3 linked regions of the Lepisosteus oculatus genome follow. The protein of the gene in region 2 interacts with the protein of the main gene of each other region in a biochemical or structural test. Links are inferred from orthologs where the notes say so. Each region holds a gene or a part of one and is shown on either strand. Other genes may lie near its edges. The genes, in order: nr4a1, apoptosis regulator Bcl-2 and fkbp8.

What was found.
Region 1: the proteins of apoptosis regulator Bcl-2 (region 2) and nr4a1 form a complex in vitro, tested with the Homo sapiens proteins (2 studies listed by BioGRID). The link is inferred for Lepisosteus oculatus from reciprocal best matches to the Homo sapiens genes BCL2 and NR4A1.
Region 3: the proteins of apoptosis regulator Bcl-2 (region 2) and fkbp8 form a complex in vitro, tested with the Homo sapiens proteins (4 studies listed by BioGRID, with this or other methods). The link is inferred for Lepisosteus oculatus from reciprocal best matches to the Homo sapiens genes BCL2 and FKBP8.

What each region holds. Positions count from the first base shown.
Region 1 is NC_090696.1:15,679,543-15,686,546, forward strand, and holds the start of nr4a1 (nuclear receptor subfamily 4immunitygroup A member 1), read right to left. Parts: upstream 3,056-7,004; 5' UTR 2,646-3,055; exon of another isoform or gene 2,478-2,645; 5' UTR 2,165-2,477; coding exon 1,949-2,164; intron 1-1,948. UniProt on the Homo sapiens protein: Orphan nuclear receptor. Binds the NGFI-B response element (NBRE) 5'-AAAGGTCA-3'. Binds 9-cis-retinoic acid outside of its ligand-binding (NR LBD) domain.
Region 2 is NC_090701.1:10,513,395-10,520,735, forward strand, and holds the start of apoptosis regulator Bcl-2, read left to right. Parts: upstream 1-4,239; 5' UTR 4,240-4,329; intron 4,330-5,089; 5' UTR 5,090-5,191; coding exon 5,192-5,749; intron 5,750-7,341. UniProt on the Homo sapiens protein: Suppresses apoptosis in a variety of cell systems including factor-dependent lymphohematopoietic and neural cells. Regulates cell death by controlling the mitochondrial membrane permeability. Appears to function in a feedback loop system with caspases.
Region 3 is NC_090724.1:8,155,781-8,163,646, reverse strand, and holds the start of fkbp8 (peptidyl-prolyl cis-trans isomerase FKBP8), read right to left. Parts: upstream 3,076-7,866; 5' UTR 2,965-3,075; intron 2,781-2,964; exon of another isoform or gene 2,286-2,780; intron 2,215-2,285; exon of another isoform or gene 2,104-2,214; intron 1,981-2,103; 5' UTR 1,957-1,980; coding exon 1,677-1,956; intron 695-1,676; coding exon 525-694; intron 1-524. UniProt on the Homo sapiens protein: Constitutively inactive PPiase, which becomes active when bound to calmodulin and calcium. Seems to act as a chaperone for BCL2, targets it to the mitochondria and modulates its phosphorylation state.

The sequences.
Region 1 (7,004 bases), on a different chromosome or scaffold from region 2:
TGGCCCTGCTGCAACTGTGTGTGTGCCCTGCAATGGGCTGGGGTCCCTTCCAGGACACACCCCAACTTGTGCCCAGTGCGTGCTAGGACAGGCTCCAGCTAGGGTGGATGTATGGACAAGGGGAGGGGGGTCACAACATCAAATCATGGGGGAACCAGCCAAGACTTGAAACAAAACTGAGAGCTGTGTGTGGTGAGGTACTGGAGCACTATGGCTGCTGTTCCATCATGCAGGTGGGGCTGCACACTGGTGCTGGTGGTGGGGAGTCCCCATTACCTGTAAAGCGCTTTGAGTGGAGTGTCCAGAACAGCGCTATATAAGTGTAAGCAATTATTATTATTATTATTATTATTAAAAGTGAACACATGGAAGCTGGACAGGACCTTGATGAAGTGGAGATGAAATCGTCCTTTCCTAGCTCCTCCAATTATTTGGCACTGGTGTTCAACCTCATGTTTAGAACAAATAGATGCATCTCTGTCAGAATTTACCCAACCTGAAAATATTTGCCTACATTATGATCTGTTGTTTTACAAATGTCACAACCCCTCCCCCCCAGATACAAACAGGACACACTGGATGTGTGGAATTTATCTTAATTTGAAGAATTCGTGTCTCAGGATAAGGACTGCCTGTGTTAGCCTGTCCTTGTGCAGATGCAGTATCGATGCAGATAACAACAGTATTATCAGCTTTTTGCTGGTGTCCCCTGATCTACTGTATTTGCCACAGTTCATCTTAACCTTCACTGTGGCCAACTTTGTCAGTGGGTTCATGGGTTTGTACACTGCAAAAAATCCCTACATTGTTCTCAGAGTTTTGGACTAAACAGATTTTTTTTTATCTCTAGATATAGAACTTTCTTACAAGGCCAAGCGTTAATCTGGTCGCTCAGCGGAGCCAGAATGTAACCAAAGAAATGTTGCTTTATAAAGTGCTGAACAAAATGACACACAATAGTCCAGTTCAGTAAATGCACCATACAGCTGTAGTACAATGTCCCTTGATTTTAGTTCTTCAATTTACAATTCAATCTTAAAGATCTTATTTTATATATCCTAATGTTTGAGGTCTGTTTTATTAGGCTTTTTGGAAATCATATACAGGTTTCTTATCCTATGCAAAGAGCTTTGGCACAAAAACTGCACTATACAGACTGGTGTTTATAACAAAAGTTTGGGAGGGGTGACAACAACTAAGTTCAATCAGACTCAGCTGTCAGTAATTAGCAATCGCTCCTGACAATCCACTTCTCTCCCAAATGCTATAAATACCTACGAGATCCCTCTCTCTCTCTCTTGCATCCCACCTCCACCTCTGCAGCTGCCCCTTGGTCAGCCTGCAGGGGGGTCCTGGTCTCCTTGTCCTCTGGCCAGGAGGCCAGCCCTCAGCCAAGCGGGTTAAACCACAATTTGGCTCCATGCAGCTTTCATCCCGGGTGTTGTCATTCCTACTGAATTCATACTACGTCCTCACGTCTTCTAGAAGACTTCAATGAGGAGTCGCGAAGAACCGTTCTTAAGAGCATCCCATTCCAGCTCCCCTCAGGACCGTGCCCCGCCCTGCCTCCTGCCCCAGGCCCTCTGTCAGACCAGGCCAGGTGTCTCCCCACTCCTGAATCCCTGTATGGATTTCCTCTGCTGCGGCTGCCACAGTGTTCGCAGCTCCTCCTCGTGTGGTATCGTCTTCTGTTTTAACAGGTTCTCCAACTGTGCCGGAATCTGCAAACTGCCAGAACCACCTGGTACCGGTGGGGGCCCTGGGGGTCAGGATCTGCGGGGTTCTGCCCACGCGTGGAGCAGACGGCAGCTCTCCCGACATCAAAAACACACAGCTACACAACCAGGCAGACGCGTCACTTGCAGTAATCTGCAGTAATCTTGCTTTGGGGGAGTGCCGTCAGTGCGTTCGAGCGCTGCGCTCTCACAGTGTCCGAGTACTCGCTTACCTGATGCGCGTCACCGCTGGCGCGTCCCCCGGCTGCGCGCTTCACCCGGGACAGCGAGCCCAACCGGCCGTGCAGCCGCCTCCCGTCCCGGAAAAGAAGCTCACTTTCTCTTCCTCGCTGCTTTCTTTCTTTTCGCCTCCGAGGATTCCTGCCGTCACAAAGACGCCCCTGTCTTCTGATCAGATCTTTCACATTCCACGCCATGGCGATATGCATCAGGGAAACCAGTCGGACCGCAAAAAGAAAGCCGGGGTTTCTTCGTTCGCCTGTGTAACCCGACGCCCCTCCGCCCGGCGTTTTTCCAGTCCTGCTGCCGTCTCTTTTTTTTTCTCTCTCTCTTTCTCGCTAAGCACTTCCCCTCGCCTGAGAACGATCAGATGCTCCTATGGCTCAGAAACAGGGGCAAGTCTCTCCGATGACGTCAATGAAGGGCTCGATTGACGTAGGTGGAATCCCTGGCGGTGACGACACCGGGCCCTTCTGGGAGGGAGGCCGGCGAAAACAAACGTGAAGGCGACCTAAAAATAGCCTACCGAAAGAAAGAAAAGAGCGAGAAAAAAAGAAAGTCGTTGCTGTCCGTTTCGTGACACGCACACAGATGGAGACGAGATAATTATAGCACCTTTAGCGAAGACGTGAGAAAGTAAAGGACGACCCCCCACACACACACGATTCACATTTTTGCTGTATAGCTAACCTTAATCGCCGCTTCCGACCGACTTCCTGTACAGGGAGATCTGTAGGCGCTTATCTTTTATATGGCAGTTTGAGTTTCCACTGCCTCGGTGAACGTTACATCTGCAGTCATACGCGCAGCCTCCGTGCTCAGAAAAAAATTCCCATTTCCTCGTAGTCTCCAAAACAAAAAAATGCGAGGCTCTCTTTAAAGCTGTACCGGGAGATATGCAGAGGAGACCGACAAGTCGGAGCCTTTCATTACTGCTGTAGTCGTACGCTAGGCTCTCACCGCGCATGCCTCTGTGGGGGTTGTGCACTTTCACCGTGCTGCGAGCGAGCTGTCCTGATCCCAACGGGCACGACTAAGCGCCACCACCTTCAGCCCCCCCATGTCTCCGGCAGTTGTGAAAGCTGGGGTGGCGGAATCGGAAAGTGCAGAACCTGAAAAACCAAAACACGCCGGCCGTCACTATTCATACAATGCCTTCCTCCCAGTTTCTATAACGGGTCTTTCTTGTATTTATTTATATATTAAATAATGTCCTACTTCTCGCGAAATAAAATCCGAGTGGAGATGCCGGGGATTGAACCCGGGACCTCACACATGCGAAGCGTGCGCTCTACCACTGAGCTACATCCCCAGGCCCGCTTCAGCCGCCCCCCCCTACAGACTGCAGGAGCAATCCCACAGCCCTCCAGTGAGGGGTCCTAACCCCCTGCACAAGCGGGAGGACGGCCGCGCGAGTCATCCAGCTGGCTTGGCCGCTAATCTTTTTGCCCTTATTGGCTGACTCTCAAGCAAGATTCGCATTCTCCTCACCCTCCCAAGCCCACATACTGCAGATGCAATTCATCTCTTGGCCCGGTTGGAGGTCGATATAAATCAAATGTTGATGTGTTTTTTTTAAATAAGAATTTCTGTAAAAAGCCTTTTTTAAAAAAAAAAAATCCTTTCTCGCCTACCTTACAGTGCCTTAGTGCAACTCCTTTCGTTGTTTCACCGGCACTTTTTCAGTTGGCGGAGACTTCTCGGCTGTCAGAAGAAAAACGTCTCTCCTTTCTTTCCCGACTCTCTGACCTTCCGCTAACCAGGAGGACCGCTCTGCCCTCCACACGGACAGCGGGTCGCCCGGCCTGCGGGCCGAGCAGTGCAGCCGTACCGTGACGTGAAGCGCTCGGGCCCCAGTGAGGTCCGCCCTGCGGCCGTCCCCCTCAAACCCGCGCTCGCAGGCTAACGGGCTGCACTCTTCGGTCTTCCTCTCTGACACGGCGGGACCCGTTCATGCCGCCCTCGGTCCAGCCGTGGGCCCTTCCTCTAGCGATGTAATCACCACGGACATTTCGATTAATTCACCCCAGCAAATGACTCCGGTGCACAAGCGTCGCTTTCTTTCTTTTTTGTCTCGTTTTGCGTGTACGAATGTTTCTATGCTGCTCGGGGTTTTTCCTATAGATTCTAGATCAATTTTGCATCTGGGGATCAGGCATTTGCACCCCTAAAGTACTACTCGAGGAAACGTGATTACATAAGTCTCAGTAACATAATACATTAAGCGAGATACGCGAGCCTTGTTATTAAATAGTTGGGAAGGCTCCTGCGTTCTTTGACCGTATTAAAACACCAGTGTCCTTATCGAGTTACTTTCAGTGTGTTCGAATTAAAAAAAAAAGAGGTAAACCGAGAGGTGGGGTTTTTATATTTAGATGTCCGACACTAGTAGGGCTGCCAGTCCCGGCCTGCCGACAGCTCGCCACTCAGACCGAACCGCTGGAGTCACGCGGCCTCCCCGCGCCTCAGCGAGACGAACACCTGGAGCAGCCGCGCGCCACCCGATCCCGTCAGCCCCTCGCTCCTCGCTCGCTCCACCGAACAAGCCGAGGGCTCACCTTGCCGGAAAGAGTTTGAAAGAGACCCGGAAAAGCGGACGGACAGCGGGCCCCGAGCACTCCTCTGTTCCGAAGCGAACGGGGCAAGTTCATCTCACAGGAGTTATCGACAGGACTGCGAAGGGAAACCAGAACCGAACGCCGTAATTCAGGACGCTGTAACCCCCTAACCCACCACCTTAGTCTTTAATTTCTTTTCTTTCCCTTGAAGGGCAATATCTTAAATCCAATCATGTCTCAAAACGTCTGGTACAACGAACCCACGTTTATCTATCGATTGAAATAAAGACGGCCATGTTTTGTTTTGGTTTTTTTTTCCCAATACATGATACTGTTAGCAATTTCGTTAAATGTTATCACATTTCTATGCAACTTTACTCTCGGGAACTGAGGCAGTTAAATAATCGACAGAGTTTAACTGAAAGAGTTCCGTCGGCAAAGGAAGATATTCAATATATCCATCGACAGGAACTTCATCGCAACACGGCCGCGTAATGACACCTAGCGGCCTGCATGCGACACTACAACTGGGCGATCTGGTTGGACGGAAAGCTGCCTTTCCGCTGGCTTTAATGAAAGTCGTCTTCGCCTCCTCGTACGTTTTCCTTTACGCATCTCGTTTCAGAATAGCGACCTTTTCCGCTTGCAGTCTCTTCCTTTACCAAGAACAGCCCGTTTTTAAAACCGAGAACCCTTGTGACTAAAGGCACTGACGCCACCTGCCGGAGATCCGGCTGTTTGCGGCGAAAAGGCTCTTGCCCACGGCTCTCGAAATCTGCGGGCGGGTTTCTCGTATAGCGGCAAATTCTGTCTTCGGCAGTAGCGGTATCTAACCTGGTATCCTTGGTTTCGAGGAAAACGTGATCTCGGGAATGTGGACATTGCCAGCTCCCTCCATCCATGTTCGAAAACCGCTTAGTCCGACACAGTACAGGGCAGCAGTGAGCCACAGTCTCACCTGGCGGACAGTAGGGTCACCTGGAGAGAACGCCAGTCCAGCACAGGGCACAGGGGTGAAGCCTTCCATGGTGAAATGTAGAGGTGAAAGTACACGTATTTCATTGTGGTTAATGCTGCTTTTTACTAAGGCATTTATTTAGCATTTGTGGGTTTGTATACAGATAATATACATATATATACTTCACCAGCAGCCATATCACCCTGCAGCTCACAACTGGCAGCTCCCTAAAGCTAAGCAGGTGTGAGCCTGGTCAGTACCTGGATAGGAGACCACCTGGGAAAAACTAACGTTGCTACCTGGAAAAGGTGTTAGTGGGGCCAGTAGAGGGTGCTCACCCTGCGGTCTGTGTGGGTCCTAATGCCCCAGTAGAGTGATGGTGATGCTATACTGTAAAAAGATGCCATCCTTTGGATGAGATGTAAAACTGAGGTCCTGACTCTCTTTAAAGAGAGTCATTAAAAATCCCAGGGTGTTTCTTGAAAAGAGCAGGGGTAAAATCTGGGCATCATTGGCCTTTACCAATCAGAGCCTCCTTATAATCCCCATCTATGAACTGATAGCTAATAGCTACACGTCACTGAGAGCTGGTGTATGGTGAGTGTACTGGCGCACTATGGTTGCAGTTGCATTGTCCTGGTGGGGCTGCACACTGGGGGTGGTGGAGGGGAGTCCCCATTACCTGTAAAGCGCTTTGAGTGGAGTGTCCAGAAAAGTGTTATATAAGTGTAAGCAATTCTTCTTATAATTAAATCTGCACTTGGAAGCTGGACAGGGCCTTGGTGAAGTGGAGATGAAATCTTCCTTTCCTAGCTCCTCCAATTATTTGGCACTGGCACTTCTTATTATAACACTCCATCCTTTTGTGCACATAATAGTACTGTCAGTCTCACACGGGGGAAACACGATGAGTTTTTGGTGCAGAAATTAGTTTTGTCACCACAGCACAATTCACTTAACATTTCTTAAAGGCCGCGATGCCAAAAATGACTGAGCCCACTGACAGACTGCTTGAATGCATAGCAACCGGGCAGCAGCAGCTATAACTGCATTTTCTGTTTCTGCTAAGCCAGTCTCACACTCTGTTCCTGGAGGACTGAGCGTCTTGCGTCTAAAATAACTGCCTGCAACTCGCCATCTGTTGCTTCCGTAAACGCAATACATTTAAACAGAAAGACCCTGATGAGTGTAAGTGACCGCTCCCACCCAGCTTTCCCCTGTTTGAGCTCTCTCTCTTGGGGAGAAGGTTAAGAGTTTGGGATGTTGTCAAATCCAAAACAGAGCAGTTCAGGAAGAGCTCCTTTGCTGAGGCTATTTGGTCTCTTAACTCAACACTTACAAAAGTATTGATTAAAGTATTTATGGGCAAATTCATGGATTCTATATTATTCTGAATATGATATGTATTATTTATGATGTTTTTTTCTCTTCTTGTATCTGACCTTTTTTTTTGTATCTCTGTTATTTTGAGCAACACCACAGAAAAGTCCCAACAGCCCAAAGGAATGTCTTGGCAATAAAGTTGACTTTGAC
Region 2 (7,341 bases):
TGTTTTTACATCTAGTATGATGGTCTCCAGAAAGATTGATATTTAACTGATTTAACCTCTTCCATGATTGATACTGACTTTTACATAACAAGATTATGAAATAACTGAAGATAGATAATAAGGACAACAAAAAATGATTTATACTCCATTGAGTTCCAAAGTGGACATGATGAACACAAATGTGCTTCTGTTATCTGTGTTTCTATTACAACATAATTCCCACATCCTTGCTTAAATTGCTGAAATCACTTGAGTCTATTCTCCTAACTTGATTTTTAATACTAAAAACTACAATATTCAAGTTTTCCAGTTTTTAGAAAAATATAAAAATCATTTAAAGGGGTGTCTGTTGTGTCGTACCTTGAACAATTCGTTTGAACAATTCTAATGTGCTTTAAATTAAAAACAAAATAATGTGGCTTCTCACGGATTGTGAAAGGCAGTGTATACTGTTTTCACAGATCAATTGACACGTGTCATTTTGAAAACGATAGAGAGAAAGTGCTGACTAGACAAGTTCATTGTCTGCTCTGGCATAATTAATTAAATGCAGACGCCGTTAATCTAGTAAAAGCACCTTGTGTTATTAGTCTTACAATCCTTCCCAGATTAAGGTCCCTAATCAGTGTTTTGAATGTGTACAGATCCTTACAGCAGTGTTTAAAATAAGAGGATCCCCAAGGTCTGTGATACCACTGATTGACAGCCGCCGTCTGGAATAACCTCCTCAGCTTCTCTCTTCCAGCCAGTGGAAAGTGACTCATTCTGTAGTCTGATTTTGTCAGGTCTCAGAAGGTAGGCAAAAAATTGGGAGAGATCTCGGTGGATCCGTAGTTAACACTTCAACTGGTGTGGGGTGACTACTTGGTCATTAAAGATCCCCACTCTGGGTGTGTAAAGCCTGGAGTGACTTCCCTCAATTCCCCTCTTAATTCAATAGATATTTGAGTAAATTCTCACTTCTCTGGGAGTGGGATTGGGGCTGTTGTACATCCCCTTGACAGGGGATTGATTTTATCATGGATGAAGTGGGTCCCCTCCTGGATGTGAAGGACGTTTGAATCTTTCATGATGAAAAGTCCTATATAAATGCAAGCAATTCTTATGAGAATAACAGGGAACAAGTCACAGTGTCTGCAAAGTGCTTTTTGTTTTGGTCAGCCACCACATCTAATGCCTGCTGCTGGCCATTGAGACTGGTTTTTGTTATTTAATGATAAAATTGTACAGTATATTGTGGAAAACAAACCTTCTGAGTCCATGTTAAGTCAGAGTCTTTGCAGGATGGGTTGTTGTCCTTAACGTGTGCCTGTGCTGAGATAAGAGAAAGAAAATCAGCAGCCATTCCTTCCAAAAAGGTCTCTGTTGGTTTTAGTTGGATATGTTTAATAGTTTTGCTGTTTATGGAGTGCCTTACAAAAATATTCATCCCCCTCCCATGGATACCCCATTATGCTGAATAACAAATGATGCATTCACATTTTTAACAAACGTTTAAGTTCAAGCTTGAATGCTCAAACGGAACACTTTGATGGATGAAAACAATTACGTCATTATGTCAGCAAAAACTGCAGAGAACCATTTAAAAAACAGAAACCTGTCACTTGTCAGTGCCTGCCCCCTTTGCTATGGGAAACATATTAGATCACGAACAGGACGCTACAAAGCTACTTTGACAAGTCACACAACTGAACCTCATCATGGATTCAAGTTCTGAAAAAAAAAAGCACATGCAGATTTCATCTGGTTCCTGGTTGGACATGTGCTTGGAGACTTCTCACACCAGGCGTGCGATTTCAGTTAACAAGAACGTCATTGTTCCCAGCCCGGCACTTCTGTTTCAGTTCAAGGAGAAACGTGACTGTTGGTGACCTATTAGAATTGCTCTGCTCTGTTCATTGTGTGAGAAAAGCAGGGGCCCAGTTCCCATAGATCCCGCTCCTAAAGCCTGCTCAGAGACTTGACGACTCGTGTCAAGATTAGATCAGGTATTCTGTATTTTACCGTCGTGGCTCTGTTGTTGTGTTTTACACGGAGCTGCCATCGCCGTTAAGACTGTTTTTATGAGGTATTTCTTACATGTCTAAGACTGCCCACTGCTGAATAAAACGGATATACAACAACTTAAAATTCTGGAATTCTGTGATAAAATTAGTTAGAACAATTTACGGTATTTTATTTTGTCCGGAAAAAAAAGTCTTCCCGAAACTGGCGTCCTCTAAAAGCAGGGAACACATTTTAACATCCAGTAGGTCTTTTCCCAGCTGGCTCTTCCTGGTGATGGAAGGAATTTAGATACAGATGGTTAAAAAAAAAGACAAATAGAATTCAGGACAGATGGACATAATGACGTAGAAAGGAAACCCCACTGAAAATAACAGAATTGAAAGCAAAGGAGAAAAATCTTCTAAATCCAAATGTAAATCTTGAAATCGTTAATCCAGCTTCTTGTTTGCAGTGCCTTCTACCAAAGAAAAGTAAATGAGACTGATACCCTTGGAAACTGGAACTGCTTATGCATGAAGAATGATGACAGCCTGTTACTACAGCCTCCTAAAAAATTAAATCTAAAAATCCATTTTCCAGATGGCATTGGCGTCTACCAAATGTGTGCCTCAAAAATCTGGACGAGAAAATGATTTTCAAATGAGGACAAGATTAAAATTCCTTGAAGACATTAATCCACAATAGAAAAGGATTCTCACAATGTAAACGCAATGCATTACAAAAGTATTTACTCTTTTCCACTTTGTGAATTTATGAATCGTGTACACAGATTTATAAAGTGAATAGTTTTAAATCCATTCAGCTAAAGCCATACAACTAATGGTGCGACTTGTCACTGTAATTGTGTGCGCCCAAATTAAAGATGTGTCATTATAAAGGGTGTGAATCAACTTTTTATTTGATTTTTTCTTTGCAGACACTTCACTTCTTTCACGCACAATGAAGTTTCGAGCATTTACCTTTCGATTAAAAATAAACACGTTAAAAAAGGTGTAGAGAGAATTTCTAATTCAACAACATGGAACATCACTGGAAGGGGTGAATGTTTTTACAAGGCATTGTAACTGCAGACCGATTCCAGACTGATTTCGGGAATTCAGCTTCGATAGGATGTCAGACGTCTTTATTTTTCTCATTAATTTCATATGTCATGTAGAATTCCCGCCTCCACTCTTCAGTGCATCATTTATCTCAAATATTTTACGTAAAGTATATATATGTACAGTATATGCACGGTTCGGTATTTTAATGGTGTTGGTTAACAATTGCCCCCACTTTACGATCCTGAATAATTGCTTAAAAATATACTGTAGGATGATTAATATTGTAGCGAATTCGAGTTCTCTAACTGCTAAAGTGCACTCTCGAGAAACACAAGCTTTGGCATAGATTTATATTATATATGACATTTACCTATTTAAAATGTATTTCATTTGCACTTACTGTAAAATCATTCAAATCCGTCTTCGGTAAAGAACTCGCTCGCTTGATATAATTTTGGCGACATCGATGATCGTTTTTGTGGTACAAACCTAATTGTGGTGCAAACAATATGTTCCGAAACACAAATGGCAGCGCCGGGGAATTAACGATATTGGACTTGGAACCGATGTTAAATAATAAAAATCGAGCGGAAATCTCACAACAGGTGAAGCAGCCGGTCGTACAGTAGCCCCGCCATCAAGTGCTGCCAGAGTAACTAAAAAAATGAATGGCGTGACGTAGAGGAAATACCTCACTCGAAAGGAGTAACGTTATATATAATGAGAGGCAGAGGGAGTGACGGCGAGTGCAGTTGTATCAAAGATTTGTTGCTCACATACTATGTAACTGCAGCTTTAACGTAGTTTTTGCCGTGACGGTGCAAGGAGCAAGGCTTAGTGTTATTTTCTTTCTAAACTTGAGATCTTTTTAATACATTCCTCGGCGTCTTTTTGTGTGTGTGTGTGTGGGAGACTCTCCTAGTCGATTTACTTAATCTGGGATAAAAGGCATTTCGAAAGCTACTGCTGTCTCTTCCGTCTTTCAAAGGCGCTGTTCAAATGTCACTGGGATAATTCAGCGCCGCAGGACAGCAGTGCGGTTTCGTCCAAGTTTTGGATGTGTTCAAGTGATTATCTCGAATTAGGAATCTAAGTGGATACTTCCCAAATTGCTGGATTTGTGGAAAATATATTCTAAAGGATACGCGAAAACTTGGTACTTTTTTTTCCCACGGATCTTTCTCATTGCTGAAAAGGGGCGTAATAATTAGAATAGATCAAACATTCCTGGCGGATTGCTTGCGGCTCTGGAGCTGTCTAAACGCCTGTAACCGATGAAGTAAGTTACCCAAAGTTTATAAAGCGATAGCGCGGGATGTATAGGCAAAGTAGAAAATAGATGATAAAATTCGGTTGTAGGAAAATGCATATTTAAATCCAGATAGACGATATTAGCTCCGACTGTTTTCTCCGGCATTAGAAAATTGCTCTCCTGGTTACGAAGAGTAGTGCATTCACCGCATAGCACGATTTCTTGATGTTTGACATTCATTTCTTTTAGAACATTTTGGTTTGTAATGAAGACTGTCAAGTCTGCGGGAAAAAAAAGGTGAAGTGTTAAGTATATGTTGTAGCTGCAGTTTACGTGTTGCAATGCACTTAAACGCAGGTTTTTGCAAATAGTAGAACATTGCGGGTCACCCAATAAACATGCTTTCTGAAAAATATAGAATGTCGTATTAATTAAAAGTACGTTTTTCAAAGTTTGATAATGCCTATATTGGGGCTTCTGAAGCCGGTGTGGAAATGATCGGTAAAGGGCAAACTTCATTCTTTCTACAATGCACACGTCTAAAATGCACCGATATTAAAGTGCGTGTTTAACTCGGGTAATATTTTTTATTTAATTAGGGTGTTTGCATTGGAAGATGTCTCTAATGTGTCTGGGTTTCGAACAGCCGCGGTGTTTTTACAGCATGGCGTGTTATTGATCCTAGCCGCCTTTTTGATATTGGTATTTTTAAAGACTGGTGGGAACACCAGAAATAATGTATGCATTGAGTCTGGTAGTAATAATCATCTGTATTGTTGAATTACAGAATATATAGCAAGCCGTTTACGAGTTTCTGTTGGAAAATGCACGTGGCATAGGACTGCTTGGACTTGCTGGGTTTGGTCGCGGCATTTTGAGTCCCTAAATAATGGCAAATAACGAAGCCCCGTACGATACTCGGAATATCGTGACAAAATACATCCATCACAAACTCCTGAAGAAGGGCTACGTGTGGGAATCCCGCGTGTCCGGCGAGACCGATCCCCCCAATAACGGATTGGTGGGCCCCTCCGCCTCGGGTCCGGGGCTGCAGGCGCGGCGGCTCCAGGCTGCCGGGGCCGAGCGCGGAGCTGTCCCGGTCCCCCGCCGGACCCCCCCGCCCGACCCCCACGCCGCTCTCCACAAGGTGCTGCGGGAGGCTGGGGACGAGATCGAGAGGATGTACCACCGGGACTTCGCGGAGATGTCGGATCAGTTGCACTTCACCCCCAACACCGCCCGGAGGAAGTTCACCGCGGTGGTGGAGGAGCTGTTTCGGGACGGAGTCAACTGGGGGCGGATTGTCGCTTTCTTCGAGTTCGGCGGGACGATGTGCGTGGAGAGCGTGAACCGGGAGATGACGTCCCAGGTGGACAACATTGCCAACTGGATGACGGAGTATCTCAACGGGCCCCTTCAGAACTGGATCCAGGAGAACGGAGGCTGGGTGAGTTTGGTCACAACGTGCAAAAAAAAAAAAAACAATAAAAAATAAATAAATGCAAAGTGTAATTGAGGTTTTGCAAGATTCCCTGTTTTCCTCAAATTTCTCCCTTCCTTAATGATCTCCGCAGAATCGATTTTTCCCCATAATCTCTTGTGATAGTGTTGCCTAATTTGTCGCACCATTCAATGCACGGTTTGAGTATTCAGGTTATACCCCAAATCCACGCACATACCTGCTGAAATGACAAGGGACACGCCTAAAACCTGTACATTTCCTTGTCTTTGTTAAATGGATTGAAGAACATGCATAAAAGCCTTGATTGTCCCTCACAATGGAAAGACATTTCCTGTCATCTGTGTGGCGAAGCCTGCTCTGTAAGAGGTCACCTGTCCGAAGGGAGCTCTGACCAATTAGGTGCGCGTTCCCTGTCACACCCCCTTCACGCCTACTAGACATGACGAAGGGTTGCCGTGTCGTGAGCTGTCAATTTCAGCCTGTGATGAAACTGGGAACATACAGTACTTCACTTCCAGGACATCTGGGCTAATGTCACACGAGTGGTTCGGAAGACACGTTAAAAAGAAGGTTTATAATTCTGAAAAGAGGGCTCGCCCAGTCCACAAGGGTTTAATTTGACGCCTTAACTTGCTCGGGAGGAAGGGGCGTACTAAGGTGTTTTACAGAAAGCCTTAGAAAATGTTGTATAAAACATTGAAACTTTCATAACACCTGACTTAAACAGTTACTATAACCTATTTCTGCTTATTTGGTAACGCTCTTGCTAAAACACTTTAACGTACAGAAAAATATTATGACGAAAAAAAGGCAGCCTCGCTTCACTGTAGTAACACGTATCTGCTTGTGCTATGAGGGAGTTTTTTTTTTAAGACGGGGGATACCAGCAACGTTTTCTTTGGTTTTCAGGATTCTGTGGTGACTAGTGGCAATTTCCCAAAACATTTTGTCACTGCAGATATTTACTAGTCTCTAAACTATAACTGGATTATAGCTCCCATATGAAGTCTTGCTGGTTTCTAAACCTTAAATCACTGTGTTGATCACAATATTATTTAAATAAACCACGTCTGCATTTAAATAAATGTGACATCACCTTCAAGAATGCAGCCACAGAGGAGATCTACAGCTTGCAGTTGTCATACATTCTCTCTGTTTGTTTTTGGGGTTGAACAGTCGATGCATCAGTCATTATTCCCATGATATCTGATGCTGTGAAGACATTAATCACATCTTCTGCAGGAGTGTGTTCTATTGCTCTTTTCATGTTGAAGAAACTCTTGTCATGGGTATACTTTGTGTGGTTATACAATGAAAGTCAGAAGAATACAAAGACCAATGAAAATAAATGAACGAAGCAGTAGTATGGACTGCTAAGGAACTACCCAAATCTTGTTTGGAGATCTAGGTGACTATGATTTATTTAAGCATTTCTAGTGTGAAATAGTTATTCATCAGACGTGCCTGGGAATTAATTAAATTTGAGTGAATATAATGTTATTATTAACAAAAAGTGAATACGTGCATTTTTGTTGCAGGGAAATACTGCTGATGTTCGAGACTGGTCTAAGACTATG
Region 3 (7,866 bases), on a different chromosome or scaffold from region 2:
CAACAGACATTTCATCACAAAGATATTGCAACGAGATCTGCAGGCAAAGTTAACGAGCAGCATTTGTTGGCAAAACTGTCCCGAAGTCAAGAGAAATATTCAGCTGGATTAAAAGAGGTGTATTCACAAGCCTGCTGGTTTACAATGAAACAGGGCTGCTTCTCGTCACCCTAGGTTTTGTTGCCTCGTTCTGAATCACAGAACATGGCGCTGCGCATACCTGGAAATTACGTCCATTTTGTTATAAGTTACTGTGTACATTTTACTTTCATTGTGGTTTGAAGTGCCCTCACGAATGCCAATTCTTTCTAACCCTGAAATATCAAAATAGCACGGCAGTTCCTTTTAAGCGTGAGGAAAAACATTCGGGTCCCATTCTTTCCTGGGGGCAAATTCTCTGACCGCAATGAAAGGGTCAGACAGAAAACACGCTCACTGGAAAGAAAGGACCCTGAAATGCTCTTTCGGAGGTGCAGCTCAGGAAGCAAGCGGACACGAGGCCAGCCGCCCCCCCACCCCCCCACCTGGATGACGTCGCCGTCTCCGAGCGTGAAATCCAGGCTGGGCTCCTCCTGCACCAGGGAGCCATCCTGCAGCGAGGCCTTCAGCCGGACCCTCACTGTCTGGCCCTTCCTGGGCCGGCTGTCCGGGCCCCTGCCAGCCGCCAGCACCTTCTTCCTCAGCTGCCCGTTCCCTGCGGAGAGAGCGCGGGAAGAAGGTCAGTCCCCGGAACACAGGAAGGGAAGGGGAGAAGGAAGAGGTGCTGGACCGAGGGATGATCAGAATGAAAAGCAGACACGCCCCCCACCAAAGCTCACTCATCCATCCATTTTCTAACCACTTCATCCAACGCAGGGAGCCAGAGCCTATCCCAGCAAGCAGCGGGCACAAGGCAGGGTACACCCTGGACGGGACGCCAGGCCATCAAAGGGCGCACACACACACTCACACCAGGGCCAATTTTCCCAGAAGCCAACTAACCCACCAGTATGTCTTTAGACGGTGGGAGGACACCGGAGCCAAAACCTCTTACATCCAAGGAAAAACAGGGATCCACCCTCCTCTGGATGAAATACTGAAGTTGGTTATAAAGGAAAAGCATGAAAATGAGGTAACAGAACATCACCATTCCCTTCGACCAGCAGCTCTGTCACCCCGCAGCTCCCAGCTGGCAGCCCTGGCCAGTACCTGGAGGGGAGACTCCTGGGAAAGCTAAGGCTGCTGCTGGAAGAGGTGTTAGTGGGGCCAGCAGGGGGCGCTCACCCTGCGGTCTGTGTGGAGCCTAACGCCCCAGTACAGTAGGACACTATACAGCAAAAAGGTGCCGTCCTTTGGATGAGACGTAAAACTGAGGTCCTGACTCTCTGTGGTCATTAAAAATCCCAGAGTGTTTCTCGAAAAGAGTAGGGGTGTTACCCCGGCATCCTGACCAAATTTCCCATTGGCCTTTACCCTTATTGGCCTTCTAATAATCCCCATCTCTGAACTGGCTTCATGACTCTGCTCTCCTCCCCACTGAGAGCTGGTGTGTGGGGAGCAGACTGGTGCATCATCCAGGTGGGGGTACACCCTGGTGGGTGTGGAGGGGATCCCCGTTACCTGTACAGAGCTTTGAGTGGAGTGTCCAGAAGAGCTGTATAAGTGTGAGGAAATATTATTATTATTATTTTTATTACCCAAGACATCCAGCCACTCCTCTCCCTCCGAGGAGTGCTCAGCCGCAGGGCTCTGCTCACTCCCAGTCCCGTCCTCCCCTTCCTTCCGAACAGCCGCCTTCTTCCCTGCAGCGGTGTCTTCCAGAGGAGGAAGATCCCCATCATCATCATCGTCCTCCTCCTCCTCGTCATTCAGCATCTCGAAGTCCTCGCCGCCGTCCAGCAGGGAGGTGCGCCGCCGCCGGCCCGGAGACTCGGCCCCGCCGCCGGCCGCCTCCTGCGCGTCCCCCACGGCCGCCATATCTGCGCTTCAGAGCACGTTGAACTGGGGAGAGGCAAAATAACACTGACCACCCAAAACAGACACCACCCGGAGACACGAAACCCATCGACTGCAGCCCCCAGATGACCCGACCTCCCAGTCACGTCCTCCCTAAGAGTTAGGTACCTGCTCCGTGAATGCTGTAGTTAAATCGCCCTGTTGAATAAAAGCAAGTAACGTTGCTAATAGAGCCAGGAGCGACGGACGTGTCTGCGAAGGCCCTTTTGGATCGGCTGCGAAATCGCAAACGTAATACAAAACACGGATCTACCCGCCTACCCCTCTCTCCCCCCGCCCGGCGGTGCAACCTGTTGTACGATCTGATCCCGTCTCGGGCTGTGAGATCCACATCCAGGTGGTGTCGGGATGCGTTTCGCACTCAGACCATTTATCGATCAACAAGAAAAGTCGTTTTGGGGGGGGATCTGCTGCGGATTTATTCGACCAGAACACAGCCTATAGGAAACAGAGCAGTTGCTGCTCATCCTCATCTGGGCAAGCGGGTTGTGATATAATCTAATCGAACATCTGAAGTCCAAATTAATAATCTTGCGATCGCCGCTGTAGAGGACCCACCGCCAGATAAGAAAAATAAATCGAGTTACCCACACATTTTCTCAGCGGAACCAAAACAAAGTTTAAATGACTGACGCAAACATTTTAACGCTGCAAACGGGAGCAGAAACGTCATGGAAGTCTGAAATATGAAACGAATACAACTAGTACACTTCCTAGCCGGCCCTAAACCACACGTGGGACAAGTGCCTAAACTGAACACACAGGAGTGCATCAGCTGCGCTTCAAGATACGGAGACGAAGTTTTTTTTAAAATAAAAGCGACTTTATCGCGTCATTTGGCCTGAGGTGATAGGTGATGAGTACGCGTCAGGGCAAAGTGTAAAGCTCCAAGCTGCAGTTTCTCTCACACGCGTCGCAAGAGTTTCTCCTAGTCAGAATAGGGTCGTTAGCAAAGCGAACCGTCCTTACCTTGCAACGTTATGAATTCATACAACGCCGTGACGCCATCAAAATTAAGCTTTCATATTTCTTCCTGGTCACCTTGGACCTTGGTCGCCAAGCAATCGCAGAACACTTTAACCCCGCCCATCGCACGATTCTATTGGCTTCTACTCCTCACTCCATTTTACTATTGGTCTGTTCCGCTGTCACTCATTTTCAGACCATAGAGTTCAGTCATCCGGGCACAGATGGTCCCGCCGCTAGTCTCTCCGGAAGTAGAGGCGGTTCCCTCTCGCGCACTCGTAGAGATGAACAGAGATTAGAGTGACGCGTGATCCTCCCGTGTAAATTACAGCGCCATCTTAGTGGGGTGAAAATGAAAGCAATTACGCTTCGATTCTTGCAGTCATAACACAACTCTGTCATTGCATGGTTTGAAATCTTCTTAAAAGTTGGTGGAATATATTCATGAAATGACTTTTCCTATGAAGCTGTTATGATACGGATGCAATGTTCTCTTTAGACGCAGTCTGGTTTTATTCTATTGAAACTGCACTCCAACACTGGATAATGTTTTTTGTAATATTTAAACAAATGCTTTTTTACTTCAAAACCCTATTATGCAGAATGAGAAACGGATTCTCTCGTATACATAAAGAACTTAGAGAGAATTGGAGTTTTAATCATAATTATAAATAACAAATAATTGTTGTTGTTAATAATAATTAATAATAATAATAATAATAATAATAGTTGCTTACACTTATATAGGGCTTTTCTGGACACTCCACTCAAAGCGCTTTACATGATGGATGATGGATGATGCAACAGCAGCCATAGTGCGCCAGAACACTCCCCACACACCAGCTCTCAGTGGGGAGGAGAGCAGAGTGATGGAGCCAGTTCAGAGATGGGGATTATTAGGAGGCCATGATGGGTAAAGGCCAATGGGAAAGTGGCCAGGACGCCTGGGTTACACCCCTACTCTTTTTGAGAAACCTCTGGACCAGTCAGGACCTCGGTTTTACGTCTCAGCCAAAGGACAGTGCCTTGTTTTATAGTATAATGTCCCTGTCACTATACTGGGGCATTAGGACCAGACCTCAGGGTGAGAGCCCCCTACATATGAGATCCCAGGCACACTCTGAACCAAAGAGCTCCTTGTTCCGGCCCTCAACTTTACCCTGATTTATGCAAGTAGGAGTGGATACGAATTCCTGTACCATTTACGGAGCCCTTAACATGAGCTGTGAAAGGTCTGAGTTTTGCCGAAGTCAATCCAGCCCAAAATATATGTTATCCACCAAACCTAAAAGGTTTGAATTATAGGCAGTTACCATTGAGGTTGAGAACTGATCGAGAGACCTATTGACCCGAGCTTTGATCAAGAGTGATGTCTGATATAGAGTGACAATCTCTCCAGGTTCCGGAAGTCTGCACTCCACCAGGTTTTTTAGGTAATTTAATAATCCCCAATGAGTTAAGAGCTGAAAACATTGGGAATGAAGACCAGTTGAGGGAACAACAGATTCCAATTAAGTGGTCAAGAGTCCAGAGTGGAATAGCGATCAGAAGACCCGACAGCCCTCCAGCAGAAGGTGTGAATATTGTCCAGGTGATACAGACAGTCTTTCCCCCACAGGTAACACACGAGGAGAATTCCTCAGATGAGCTCCTCCTCAACCACCACAGTGCAGAAGAAGCAGATTCCTGGGGAGGGCAGCTCAGACTCTGTCTCTGCCAAAGACCGCTCCACAAGTTAAGGTGATACAGGTGAGAGGAAGAGAAGATATTGTTCCAGGTAAGTGTTCTATCCATCATTCAGAGAAAACTGCTTAATCTTGGTAAAGATCACAGCAATATGGAGCACCAGGCAGGGCCCCACCCTGGATAGGAGGCCAGTGCATCGCAGTGCACACAGGCACAATGTATACACACCAGCTGTTTTTACTAGCTCAGCCTTGTGAGGTAAAATGAACCGGGAGCTCTGGGAGGAAAGCCACGGGCATGTGGAGTGAAGATGCAGACTCCACACAGAAGGCTCCTTCTGTTCAGAGTGGAACCCAGGACCCAGCACTGTGAGACAGCTGTTTTAGCAACCAAGCCACTCTTGCTGCTCTCTTGGATAGCCAGCAGCCATATCACCCTGCAACTCACAACTGGCAACCCACTGAAGCTAAGCAGGTGTGAACCTGGTCAGTACCTGGAGAGGAGACTCCTGGGAAAGCTGAGGCTGCTGCTGGAAGAGGAGTTAGTGGGGCCAGTAGGGGGCGCTCACCCTGCGGTCCATGTGGGTCCTAATGCCCCAGTATAGTGATGGGGACACTATACTGTAAACAGGTGCTGTCCTTCGGATGAGACGTAAAACCGAGGTCCTGACTCTCTGTGGTCATTAAAAATCCCAGGACGTTTCTCCAAAAGAGTAGGGGTGTTACCTCAGTGTCCTGGCCAAATTCCCCATTGGCCTTACCAATCATGGCCTCCTAATAATCCCCATCTCTGAACTGGCTTCATCACTCTGCTCTCCTCCCCACTGATAGCTGATGTGTGGTGAGCGTTCTGGCGCACTATGGCTGCTGTCGCATCATCCAGGTGGGGCTGCACATTGGTGGTGGTGGAGGGGATCCCCATTACCTGTAAAACGCTTTGAGTGGAGTGTCCAGAAAAAGCTCTATATAAGTGTAAGCAATAATAATAATAATAATAATAATAATAGTAATAATAATAATTATTATTATTATCACCTGGACTCTTTGTTAGAGACATGATGTACTCTGACCAGCCAGGGCCCACAGTGCTCAGCCCTCAGCTACACCCACTGCAATGCGCACGATTGTGTGCTTTCACTTTGGTTGAATCACAACAGCCGTGGAGATGGGTTTAAGGAGCACTACACAGATAAGAGTGCACACCCAGCATTGCTGCAGTTGGAGAATCAGAGACATTGAAGCCCTGCAGCCTAGGAAATGGAATTGAATTGCTATTGTCAGGTTGAGGCTGCACTTCAATCAAACAGCCCCTGAGAGCCTCGATACAGCAGGTGGTTTAGGTTTCCTGAAGTCTTCAACAGATCGGTGTTACCCGTTTCCTCTGGCCTTAATGTGACTAAGAAGACCCAACGCACTGCAGTCCTCCTGGGCCAGACTCAAATCCCCTGGGCCCAAGGCTTCTTCCTGAACTCTCCTGAGGTGTTCACATGTAGATCCTGACTGGCATCTGGGAGTTCTGCACGGACAGCTCAGGGTAGGTCAAGCCAGGGAGGGGAGGTGCGTGCCATGATGTGAGCCAAGCATCAGCTAATGTCGGCCTCAGTGCCAACTCATTGAATGGAGGCACGCACTTTTCTGCAGACTGTCCCGTGCGTGAGTGCAGTTGTGAAAGACGAGGAACGGACGTTTACCCAAGGCCCCGCGGGGCTGATCTCAGCCGCTTTTAAATGCAGCAGAGGCCCTTGCAAACGGTAAGAGCCGCAGAAGGCTGTAAGTCAGAAAGATGCAAAAAGCATCACAACATGATCTCAACCACACCTGTGCCTTGCGGCCCGCTGTAGGACTTCACCTGCACCGGAAGCTAAAAAACATAAACCTCACTCAGAGCAGAGCACCGCCATTGGCAAAACATGCGATCAGAGTTTTAGTTTCTTATGTATTTTGGTCTCTCTTCCTCTCCTCCCCCTGCCTAAGTTAATCTGGATCCAGGAGGCTCTAGCAAGCACCCATCAAATGGACCTATTAGTTCTGCAACAATCTCGCATTACGGATTCCCTCCCAAAAACCAGGAGGAGCTGCACATTCCTGCCCTTCCGCCATGCAAAAGAGGAAGCTCGGGATGAGCTGTGTTTTTGTGTAATTGGGGCTGTTGTGTGCACCAGGTTGATCGGCACAGAATGCTAAGTGGCTCCCTCATCTATCTGCGTTTTCCCAGCGGGGCAGGTCGCTGCAGGCTGTGCATATCAAGGTTGGCTGGCTCTGTGCACAGCCTGAGTGGTTAACAAGCCCCGGTATTAGTGTCAACTTGCTAAATTGTATGTAACTTTTTAGTTCACACTAATAATCCTGCTTATTGATTTCTTGTCTGAGCCTTCAGCCTGGTGTAACACTAATGGCACTGGTCAATAAATATCACAAACTGTTGCACACCCCCCCCCCCCCCACACACACACACACACACACACACTCACACACACACACTCACTCTCCCTTTCCCCTAATCTTAAAAATCACTGCTCGACATCACTCCTGGGCTGCTGGAGGAGGTACAACAGAGACAATGTTTCTAATAGGATCTGCACTGCTTAAGCCCCCAGGTTTCTCTCTTGTTTGTTAAAACTGCTTGCTTAAAGGTGTCTTATCTGTTAAGAAAGGAAAGGTGTTTCATTGGTAAATGCAGCACACCACCTCATGTTGTACTATGCACACCTATTAACAAGCAGAACAGCCCATGCATGCACAAAGGAGGCAGAACAGAGCGATTTCTACACTAAAGGCCTGGGGAGGATTATCTCTGCAGGGTGTCTACAGTAGGCTGATTAAATGGACCCTATAGATCAGAACCAAGGGCCAGCAGGGTGAGAGGTCAGTGCATTTTCGTGAAGGTGAGCCTACTAAGTTAATCGAGCCAGTCAGGGCTTGATCTGATTGACTTAATTGTTTTCACCATATCATTACTCACAGGTTGCAAGTTCGCTCAGTGAAAAGGTGATAGAAAGAAATCCACGAATCTCATAAGTTGAAGACCGAAAAGCAATTTTGAAAGGTTGAAAGAGGCGAATGATAAGTTCAGCTTCGTAATTGACAGCTCAGGTGAAACAGAACCCCAGCAGGGGCGGACTGTCAGGAGGTTTCGTGCACAACCCTTGGGATGTCCGCTCAGAATCTGAAATAAATTCTTTGTAATCCTGGTCTGCATGATTACCAGCCAGGGATAGAC